Linked DNA regions of Coturnix japonica. The protein of the gene in region 2 interacts with the protein of the main gene of each other region in a biochemical or structural test. Links are inferred from orthologs where the notes say so. Each region holds a gene or a part of one and is shown on either strand. Other genes may lie near its edges.

Region 1 (3,649 bases), on a different chromosome or scaffold from region 2:
TATCATGGAAGAGAAACTTAATCTAATGAAAGCACGTGTCACACTGCATAGGAAAAGAAGTCTGTTCTACAGAAAAACTGGCATGAAGAAAACTGGCATTCACATTCCCTCCTTTCTTTGTGAGGTAAGGCCCAGGTACCATTATTCTGACTGTCGAGCAAAATTTGAAGACTGAGGCAAACCCCCTCAAGAGCTAACATGATGTTACATATAGTTCCTACTTCTGTGGCATGTGTGCAAAGGATCAATTCAAAGATAAGAATTATTGTGAACTATTTGTCCCATATCCTCATCTCATACTTACTTGTACTGTGAAATCATCCACAACTACTGTTATTATTGACTAAAGGAGAAATAACCTTTATTGTACACTTACCTTAAGCGATGGACAAAAGAACACCGTTAGCAAGCAGTGAACACAATTAATATATACATATATATCTAGCATATACATATAATACATATACATATATATCTAACAGAAAACTGGAAATTAAATTAGCCCATCAATACTACAAAGCCTTTGTAATAACTTTAAGGTCCAGAAAAATTAATATCATAATGTAGTCTTCCACCAACAGAGAAGAACAAAGCACCTCCATCCTCAATTTACTCTTAAGCAGCTGAAGTGGATAAAGATTATCCTAATCCTGATTTACATTTACACAATATTTGCCCTCTTAACTAGTGCTATCTCTCAAACTTTTCCCCTTAAAAATCACAAAGAAAAAAAAAATACATAATATCTCAAAAGGAACTGAAATAAACTTCAAGATTTATTAAAAAACATGCCTTTCATTACCCTCAACAATTTCATCAAAAATAAAATTCCTCATTGTACAGGTCTCTAGAACAGAAAGAAGGGCCCACATGAGAGGGCAAACAGCTCTTTACCAGATACCCCGAAGATTATGAGAAATGTAAAGACAATATTCTCTACAAGTTTTGGATAATGTAGTTATCCAATAACTGGGAAGTTTTAAGTACTTTCTTACCACATATGATGGAAATGGATCTAATGCCACAGAACACAGAAAGTGTTTGGGACTTCTGGGAACCATTCTGGAAGCGTTCCATTGACACAGAGCCTCTGAATAAATAATTTCAGCTAACAAAGAAAGAACATACTATATCTAACCAAAATGTTATCCAAATGCTTCTTAGGAAAGCCAGTAAGGCAGAAGGAGGCAGTGGGGAGAGAAGGCATACAAAATCAGTGCAAGTTTATTCATTAGGATGGAAAAAAACTCGCACGACCATGCACTTTGTGCACCCTATGATTAAAATCAGTATAGCCTGCAATCAAATACTTGGGGAGTACTTGATCTACTTTATATTTTGTTGAAAAAGTTTTACTGCCTTTCTTTTAAAAAGAGCATTTTATCAGGGTGAACTTAAAAGGAAAAAAAAAAAAACAAAAAAAAACAACACATGTTTCATACAGGCTTTTTTAAAAGTATATATGAATACCCAGCAATCTTGTTTCTGCTATCCTTCATCTCTTTATTGTATTTTCTTTCTTTTTCAATTTCTCAAATTCTCTGTAAGTTTATCACTTCACTTTTTCTCCACCTTTGATCCTGAGCATTTCCAGATTCACTGTTCTGTAAGTGCCCGTGATTACTTCGATTGGAAATTCTATCAGATAAGATAGTCTCTACCAATCATGAATTAAAAAGGATGTACTTCCCGCAGTTAATGCCCAGGGAAGAAGCCAAAATCACAAGAGATTATGGAAGCAGACCTATTAAAGCCAAAAGATTTAACGTGATATATGCTTAGTTTTAGAGTAAGGTTATTCTCATTATCTGCCCTAGAATCTTTTTCTCACTAGTCTGCCATATTTGTACTATATTACTCATGTGTTATATTTTATGCTACTCCAGATCTCCTAATCTCTGCTAAAAGAAAAAAATACCTCTCTTCCCATGAGACCTTTTAGACTACCAATCTGTTTCTTCACATTTGCTGTTAATCTTCCCCCAGTGCGCCTGTGTTAAACTGGGATCGCTGTCAGCTTCACTGACTAGACACAGTACTGTCGATATCACCGACACAACTGACAATAGAAAGAAAGGGTCCTGAAGAGCTCCACCTACCACCTTAATATTTGGTTTACAATTGACTTATACTTTAGAATTACTATTACAATCCCATTCCCACCCAAAACAGTCCAAGCTGCCAGAATCGTTCAATAATAAAAGCTTTCAGTGGATGTTTACAGAAAAATGAGAGAAGTAAAAAAGATGGAACAGAGAATTGTCACACAGAATCATCTAGGAGGATTTCCTACACTAACTGACCAAACCAATTCATACAGAAGGACTTCCCTCTCTGCCTTGTCGGGCAGAAGGAGAAAGAGAACATGTAGGAATTTATTAAAATTTGAACTAGGCAGTCCAGATACAACTTTTACAACAGCAAAAAACAAACAAGCAAACAAACAAAAAACAAACAAACAAACAAAAAAAGAAAATCTAAAACAATTAAGTACACAAAATTTCATGAAATCTATAAAGACCATCTGATAAAATACCTTGTACATCTCTGCTTCAATTTGTTGATGAACACCTATGTAACTCTTCTTGACTTGCTGCTTGTCCTTGATCATCATGGTAAGCCTATGTAAAGGGCCAGAATTTAGATCTTCTGCGTGTGTCTTCATTATTTTGCTCAGCTGTTCTGTTTGTTGTACTACAAGCAACCAAGACTGTAAAAAGAAATAAACAGAATCAGAAGAGTCATTTATTCTGGCTTACAAATAACCAAACAATGGAAACGAACCCTGCTAAAAGATGCTTTCAGTAAAAAAAATAAAAAATAAAAAAATAAAAAAACTGAACTTCCCAAATTCACTTGCAATCTTCTAGAAAAATTGCTTCTCCTGTAACAAAACTGTGTAGTCAACTTACTCGTAAACTCATAAAAAAAGGATCAGAGACTAAAATGGAGCATCAGATGACAGCCACTCCACCAGGTAGGCTTTGCACTTCTGAGCACTCGTGAAAGCTCTACAACTTTTTCCAGATCACATCCTCAGCACATCTGACAAGCACATTCCTGCACTCTGTTTTCCCACCACATGAAACCACAGTTTCTCTGGCTAATACATGACTTCTTTGCCCTGGTTTACACACCAGTCTTTTTTTTTTTGTCATACGCAAACACACATGTCTATGTTTATACGAGCATGTACTTACATACACATGCACACATACATACAGATACAAATATTTCTGTCTGTATGCAATAATAGCCAGAGTGGAATTTAGAGAACAAAATGAAAGACAGTTAATTCCTGCACACACTAAGCGATCTTTAATATTTCCTTTAGCCGATAAGCACTCTTGCAACTGCTGGCATAACTGCTTTAAATAAGTCCAGAGACTGAAGATTACTGGTTATGTCTGAAAAGTGTTTATCTCCCCATTTACAGAGAACTTTCCAAATGACTTCATAAACCATAACGCAAAGCTGTGTACAACAAAAATAACATCAAAAATCTGTATGAGAAGAGTGGTTATAGAAAAGTTCATCAGAGCACTCTCAAAGGTGAAAAAGTAATAAAAGTAATGTATTTCTGCAGGTGATTTATTACCACTGAGACACGGCTTCAATCAATTCTAAAGAAATACTTCGCCTACAATTC
Region 2 (3,649 bases):
GTTAATGATTCCAGCTCCTCTGGTCACTGTTTAAACAGCTACGAGGGCAGCAGGGACTGGCTGGTTATAGGAACCCCTGCTTGGCTCCATCCCCACAGCCCCAGGGTTCATTGAACAGCCACGAGCTTCCCCTGCTGCCCCGTTCCCAGGCTCCCGGCTCTCCCCCTCCCCACATCATGACTCTGCCCTTGGGGCAGCTGAGCCCAGGGCAGCGTGGCAGAATGGTGCCCATCCCCTATTGGTGCCCATCCCCTATTTATGATGTACTGTCTGTGGGCCCAGCGCTGAATAAAGGATGGAGGTAAACGTGGCTCCTCTTCCCCTGTGTCCCTGCAGAGCATGGGGGGGATCCAGGCAATGAAAGCAGGATTAGGGCAGCTGCCCCATTCTTGGCTATCAGGGCTTTCCCTGCAGTGAGAGCAGCAGATGGAGGAGATGGGAGCAAACCACGCAGACAAAGTGGAGTAGAAAAAAAACCATCTACAATGATGAAATATACATCCAGGTGACACTGTCAGCTTAACGGGAACCCAGCAGGAGCCCAGGCAGCCCCGTGTCCACCTGCTCAGTGCAAGTCAATGTGTCCAGCGCTGCTGGGCGCCGGTGGGGAGGGGGCTGGGGGCACAGGGGTGGTGGGGGGCTCTGGGACAGCAGCAGCGTGGTCCAGGTGTATCCAGGGTGTATACAGGTGTATATAGGTGTATGGTGATGGGGAGCAGGGTGATGGGGCTCCCGGTCCTGTTGATGCTGCTCTTCTTCCTCCAGGAACCGTGTGGGGTTGGAGCATCCATCTCAGTGGGGCTTTGGGGCTCCTTTTGGGGGTCCTCTGTGCCCCCCCCTGTGCTGCTGCGCCGTCTCACAGTGCTCTATGCTCTCCTGCAGTATAGGGCACCCCCATGATTGGGGACAGTCCTGCCCCCACATCCATCGCCGGCCTCGTGCCGTCCCTCCCCAAGCTGCCTCGGTGAAAGGGGGGGGTCCGTATGTGGCCCTGCCCTACACAGCCACGTCCTCAGGCTCAGCCAAACCCAGGTACTCCGGGTTCTCAGCTGCTGGCGTGGAGCTGGGCCCACCCTCAGGGCTCCCAGCTTTGGGGGGGTCCTGGTTCCAGTAGTAGGGGTTGTCGAAGGCCTGGCTGAAGGCTGTGGGGACCGGCAGCCCCGGGGGGGCCAGGTACTCGGGGTTCTCCACGGCGTGGCCAAAGGGCCCCAGGAAGGGATGCTTGGTGTCCTTGATGAGCCCGTTCTTGCCTTGGTGGCCCTTGGGCTTGTCTGGTGGGGATGGTGGTGCACAGGGGAGCCGGGGGGGTGACGGCAGCTCCCCAGCCTGATTCACGTACTCTGCAGGGAAAAGGGATGTCAGCAGCCAAACAGGGTCCTTGCCCCCCTCCCCAGGGTCCTATATTGCCCTACCTGGCATAGTGGTATGTGGGGCTGGGGTGGTGAAGCCCTCAGGGTCCAGACCTTCACTCTCATCCCCCGGCAGCGCGGTGGGGTCCTCACTGTACCGTGTGGCTGGGGGGCTCGGCAGGGCTCCCTTGGCCCCAACATCCACCTCCAGAGCCTCCGACACGGGGCACTCTGACCCCTCCACCAGGTTCTGCGGTGGGAAGGGGAAGGCGGCTGATTCCTCCCCCTCTGTCGTGTCAGCTGGGGTCTCTGCTGTGCTCTGAGGAGGCAAAGGGCACGGAGTCGGGCACGGTGCTGTGGGGTCTATAGGGTCTGTGGGTGGCATTAGAGAACTTGCACCCTGTGCGCCCTGCAGCAGCACGATGCCCCAGGTCAGCCCTTACCCGCGTGGAGGAGATACGGCTGCGGTACGCGGTGGAGGTCTCAGCACTGAAGAAGCCCTGGTGAGGGACCAGGTATTCCTCAGCATCCACCAGGTCGTCCATGTCCTCCTCCTCCAGCAGCGCCCGGTAGAAGGTGCTGTCCATGTTGCTGGGCAGCCCGATCATGTCGTTCTGGGGGTCAGGGGGGGCTGTCAGTGCCCGTTGGGGCAATGCTGAAGGCGAGACCCCCCTGAGACCCCATTACCTGGATGACCACAAAGCGCTGGGGGTCGCGGGCCATGCGGGAGAACTCGGTGACCAGCTCACGGAACTTGGGCCGGCACTCGGAGTCGATCATCCAGCCTGGGGCAGAGCCGAGCACCGTGAGGGCGGCGTTGGGGTCCTGGCCCCCACGTCCCCATGTCCCCCCCACTCACATTTCACCATGATCATATAGACATCGATGGTACAGATGGGCGGCTGCGGCAGCCGCTCGCCTTTCTCCAGCAGGTCGGGGATCTCTCGTGCCGGGATCCCATCGTAAGGTTTCGCCCCGAAGGTCATCAGCTCCCACACGGTGACACCTGAGGACATGGGGATGTGGGGTAAGTGCTGGTTTGGGACCCCCTGCCCCCCACAGCCACCATAGGGACGCACCGTAGCTCCAGACATCGCTCTGGTGGGTGAAGCGCCGGCGCAGGATGGACTCCAACGCCATCCACTTGATGGGGACCTGGGTGGGTGGGAGGAGTGAGCGGGACCCTCAGGGGACACCGCGCTCCCTGTTGCCCCGTCCCCATGTCCCACCTTGCCCCCATCTGCGTGGTACTCGGTCTCATCGATATCCAGCAGCCGTGCCAGCCCGAAGTCGGTGATTTTGACATGGTTGGGGCTCTTGACCAGGACGTTGCGAGCAGCCAGGTCACGGTGCACCAGCCTCACCTCCTCCAGGTAGCTCATCCCCTGGGCAGCAGGCGTTAAGCCCCACATCTACATCCCCCCCACAGCCCCTCAGCAGCCCCCTCTCTTACCTTGGCGATCTGCACACACCAGTTGAGCAGGTCCTGGGATCCGATGCGGTCTTTGTTCTCCCTCACATAGTCCAACAAGCAGCCGTAGGGCATCAGCTGCGTCACCAGCTGCACCGTGGAGGTCAGGCAGATGCCCAGCAGCCTCGACACGTAGGGGCTGCCCACCCCGGCCATCACATAGGCTTCCTGCAGGCAGCACAGATAGGTCAGGTTGGCACCGACTCCCCAGCCCCGTGCCCACCTCCCCTGCACTCACATCCAGGATCTCCTTGTTGGCTTTGGGTGATGTGTTCTCCCGCAACACCTTGATGGCCACCGGGATCTTCACGCTCTCCCCATCGGGGATCCAGATGCCCTATGGGGGGTGGGGGGGCGGTGAGTGAGGACACAGATGGTGCCATCCCACTGACTGTGCCTCCCACCCCTCACCTTATAGACAGTGCCGAAAGCGCCGGAGCCCAAAACCTTCACTTTCTTCAGCTCCGTCTCCTTGAGGATGCGCATCTGTGCTTGGTTGGGGAGGGCCCCGCTGGGCGTCAGCGGCTCCACCAGCTGCGAGGGACAAGTGGGTGAGGAGGGACAACACTCTGAGCCCCCCCCAGGGTCATCCAGCCCCCCCACCTCAGTCTCCTGCAGCAGCCGCCTCATGGTGTGTTTCCTCTCCTGCTGCCGCCGGCGCTTGACGCAGACGACGGTGATGAGCAGAAGGACGACGACCAGCAGAGCCCCCACCACACCAGCAATGATGGATGTCACCTGGCTGCAGGACGGGAGGTGACAGGGGATGTGGGGATGGGGTCACCCCCTGATGCTCCCCTATGGGAGGGGGGTACCCACGGTGGTACCT
Region 3 (3,649 bases), on a different chromosome or scaffold from region 2:
CGACAATAAGTTATTAAGGACGGGGTTTGCCCCAGGGATGCCAGCAGCTGTTGAGGACACCTGCAGTTCCTGCAGGCTGAGTTCCAGTTTGCTCACGGCTTCCCGGAAGGCAAATTTGTTGCGTGTATGCGGAATGCAGTCCACGTAGCCTGAGCAGTAATCCAACAGCTGATGCCCCGTGTCCACCAGCTGGCTGTTTGGTGTGGGCTCAGCGATGGCACTCGAGAGGAGGTCGGCGCACTCCAGCAACGCTTCCTTGCTGATTTTGTCTGCTGGGATTTTCTCGGTTGCCTGTTTGGTCTTTCTTAACGCTACCTTTGCACCAGCTGTGCCGTTGGCCATTTTCACTGGGGAGGTGGAAGATGACGACAGAGGCACTTGAGGCGGAGGCATCGCGGGCCTCCCAGATTTCCCACCGACAGGTGCTGCTGCTGCTGCTGCCTTCTTGCTCCCTTCACTTGACTCGTGCTGCGCTCCCGCCGCGTTGCTTAGCTCTTCTGCTGCATCCGAGCAGGCAGCCGGCTGCTGGAGGAGCCTCGTCACTGGTGGCGGAGGCGGAGCACACTTTGGTTTTACCCGTCTGGGCCGGTCCCTGTCGCCGGAAGAAGTGACCTGATGCTCAGATAAGAGCTTAAATTTATTACCCTGAGAGTCTGTGCCAATAAGCTGCACATCTGCTGGAGTGTGTTTCAGAGTGGGTGAGATTAGGACTGGCACTTTGTGGTTATGAGTGGTTGGAAGTATTGCTGCAGCCTTTACCGGAGAGGACCACCCCGCTCTCTCGCCATCCTCGAGGGCCCCTTGCCGTGGGACGCTGTTTTTTTCTTTGCTTTTAGGAGTTGCTGCTAGCCCTGCGATCTCCTTTTCCTCTGAACCGGAGGGGGTTCGGAAAGGGAGAGCTGTGGCACCCCTTGCCAAGAGTTTTGCTTTTGGTCTTTCTCTGGTCAAAGCGGAACCTTCTTCAAACCTTTTGGGCAGCAGGTCGTTTGCCCTCCCTGTGCTCTCATCAGGCTGAGAGGAGGTGGACACTGTCCGTTCCAGCTGGATTTTTGACCTCTGGGAATTTCTGGGAAGGGTCATTGCCATCCTATCCTGCTCTGGAAGCCCTGAGGACATGGAAGATGTAGAGTTTGACCTTGGAAAAGGCTTCGATGCTTCCTCATTGCCAGTGGGCTTTCCTGGTCGTAGACCCAGTGTCTTTTTAATCAAGCGCGGTGTAAAGAAACCTGTGATGCCAGACCACCCACCACCAGTGCTCACACCCCCACCGCTGCTGGTACCAGTGCCATCATCGTTGTAGAAGGTCCGCTGCACAAAGCTCCCACCGTAGCACTTGGGTGGTGCCAGGTTTGTGTCCTGCTGCGTGGGAGCAAAAGCGAACCCATCCACGTGCTGCAATGAAGCAACAGATGAAAAATTACCCGTTAACTCGTATTTCTTGTGGGGCTGATTCTCCATCTCCCGGAAGGAGCTACTGCGCTTGGGAGGCGTGGGAGCATTCCTCTTCTTCATGAAGGAGCTGAAGAAGCCACCTTTCCTGTCCCTGGTGAAAGTGGTCTCTTTGGCATCCTCCAGCAGGCTGCTGGGTGACTTGTCCCTCTGCTTGTGAGGCAGCGCGGGAGACCCGCTTGTTGGCTGTGTGCTTCTGATCAAACCTAGGAAGAAACAAGAAAGAATCCACAAAATCCATTTCCATTTCCACCTCCCTGTCCTGCAGCAGGCTCTAAGGGCCCAACATTTCCTTTACACAGGATCTGCAGAGAAAGACTGAGAGAGGAAGGTGGCACTTGTATTTCTGCGCTGGTCTGCTTTCTTTTTTAACACTGTACATGTGTGACCTGGCTGTTGTCTGGGGAGGCAGATTAGAAGGTCAGAAGGAAGTGAAGCTGCTCTTTTCTCTCAGTTTCTTACCCCCTTGCTGCAGTTCTTTTCTCCTTCCCCAGACACCGCAAAGTATAAGGGAAAATCTCATGCTGTCAGTTGTCAGTTTCAGTTTGAAAGTCGTTATCTTTAAAATACAGTTAAATTGAATTTTAAAGAAAGAAATGCAATGGGATGTACTGAAAGGATGCTGCAAACAGCCCTCAAGACACAGCTGCTCAAAGCACCAGCCTGGAATACTTTGGCTGGATGGGAGTTCACTTGAGTGCCTGCTTATGAAAAGCTGAAGAAAGCTGAATCCCCACATACACGTATGCCACAGAACTGCTTCATGTCCTGAGAGCAGAGTGGAGAAGTCTACTTGACCCAAAGAATTGTGCCTGTACAGACACCATCTCAGTTGTAAGGAGCAGATCCTCTGCCTCCTCAGGAATGAGAAGTGACACCTGTACTGTGCCCAGGCTCCCACCCCACTCTACCATTCTGTCACTGAAGAACAAGACCATGCAGGACTCCTCCCCATGAGCCATTTCATCCCTCAGCTCCCTCAGGGAGCAAATCTGCCATCATTCAGGTGTCTCTGCCTCACTAATCCAAGAAGAGTATCCTCAGCCCTGTCTCTCCTATCGCAGTAATCTAAATCCTGCAGTCAGGCCACAAACTGAAAGAAGCCAACACCATTAATCATTACCTTGACTAGAACGTGACATTTTACAAGCCATCCTGGCAGGACACTTGGTTGAAAGATCTCCAGCTGGTGGATGTTCTGTTCCCTTCTGCTTGTCTGACAATTGACACTGGGGGCAGATCTACCCCAGAACACACGGCCTCAGTGTGAGTGCCCTCATGCTCATACCTGGTGCAGAGCTGGATGCCGAATGCTCCAGGGTATCCTGTGTTCCTTCAATGTTCTCCTTGTTCTCTGCCTGTTTCTTCAGTGTTCTTGTCTTGGAGGGAAGCATGGGCAGCCGGGGCAGGTAAGGAACAATGGATGAGGAGGAGGCTGTTCTTCCAAGCTCCTCTGCTACCTCTGTAAGGAGGAACAGTAAGAGGAATGGTTGGAACAAATCCAGCAGCAGAAGAAAATAAAATATGGATCTCTACTGTAGTCCCAGACCAGCAAGAAGACATGACTGAGAATGCAAGCAGGTTGTGAATTTAGCTTTATGCCAACCCAGAGGTGCTTGGGGTAAACCATGTTTTACAAACAGAATTCTAACTTACATCTTTGTAAATCCAGCCAAAAAACGGTGGTAGGATCTGTACAAGTGAGGGTTTGGTATATATCCAGCTCTCTGCTGGGTTAAGGTTGCTCAAGAGCTGTACTTCACACTGAATGCATTTTCTTCCCTTTCTAAATAAGGTGCCTCTTGTTAATTGCCCCAGAGTTGAGTCTTTTCTGACTCTGGACCTAAGCTGCTTTGAGGCAAAACACTGCGTATCTCTATTAGCAATGAAGATTTCACGTTTCCTCCCCAGTACCAACACGGAGTATGTGATTTAAAAGCACTAACAAAAATCCTCCTGGACAGCCCCAGGTTGTTGTTTGTGTGGGTCCCTTGATGTGCCTGTTACAGATCCTCCCTGGTTGAATTTCACCTGGTGTGATTTTGCTATAGCAGGGAAGTGCGTGGATTGGCTTCATAGTTGAGAGATGCTGAAGCAATTGTGCTCATTTACCTGCTATCACAGCTCTCCCAGCTGACCACATTTGAAAGATGAGTTGCCCAGATTTTCTCCTAAAAGAATAGCTAAGTAGAAGATCCCG

The links. The genes of interacting proteins can lie anywhere in the genome.
Region 1: the proteins of ERBB2 (region 2) and FER form a complex in vitro, tested with the Homo sapiens proteins (2 studies listed by BioGRID and IntAct, with this or other methods). The link is inferred for Coturnix japonica from reciprocal best matches to the Homo sapiens genes ERBB2 and FER.
Region 3: the proteins of ERBB2 (region 2) and ABL2 form a complex in vitro, tested with the Homo sapiens proteins (3 studies listed by BioGRID and IntAct, with this or other methods). The link is inferred for Coturnix japonica from reciprocal best matches to the Homo sapiens genes ERBB2 and ABL2.

What each region holds. Positions count from the first base shown.
Region 1 is NC_029547.1:42,306,714-42,310,362, forward strand, and holds part of FER (tyrosine-protein kinase Fer), read right to left. Parts: intron 2,711-3,649; coding exon 2,537-2,710; intron 1-2,536. UniProt on the Homo sapiens protein: Tyrosine-protein kinase that acts downstream of cell surface receptors for growth factors and plays a role in the regulation of the actin cytoskeleton, microtubule assembly, lamellipodia formation, cell adhesion, cell migration and chemotaxis.
Region 2 is NC_029542.1:3,928,498-3,932,146, reverse strand, and holds the end of ERBB2 (receptor tyrosine-protein kinase erbB-2), read right to left. Parts: coding exon 3,648-3,649; intron 3,563-3,647; coding exon 3,424-3,562; intron 3,355-3,423; coding exon 3,232-3,354; intron 3,158-3,231; coding exon 3,059-3,157; intron 2,989-3,058; coding exon 2,803-2,988; intron 2,735-2,802; coding exon 2,579-2,734; intron 2,505-2,578; coding exon 2,429-2,504; intron 2,356-2,428; coding exon 2,209-2,355; intron 2,135-2,208; coding exon 2,037-2,134; intron 1,964-2,036; coding exon 1,793-1,963; intron 1,669-1,792; coding exon 1,413-1,668; intron 1,341-1,412; coding exon 997-1,340; 3' UTR 461-996; downstream 1-460. UniProt on the Homo sapiens protein: Protein tyrosine kinase that is part of several cell surface receptor complexes, but that apparently needs a coreceptor for ligand binding. Essential component of a neuregulin-receptor complex, although neuregulins do not interact with it alone.
Region 3 is NC_029523.1:5,530,439-5,534,087, forward strand, and holds part of ABL2 (tyrosine-protein kinase ABL2), read right to left. Parts: intron 2,912-3,649; coding exon 2,738-2,911; intron 1,656-2,737; coding exon 1-1,655. UniProt on the Homo sapiens protein: Non-receptor tyrosine-protein kinase that plays an ABL1-overlapping role in key processes linked to cell growth and survival such as cytoskeleton remodeling in response to extracellular stimuli, cell motility and adhesion and receptor endocytosis.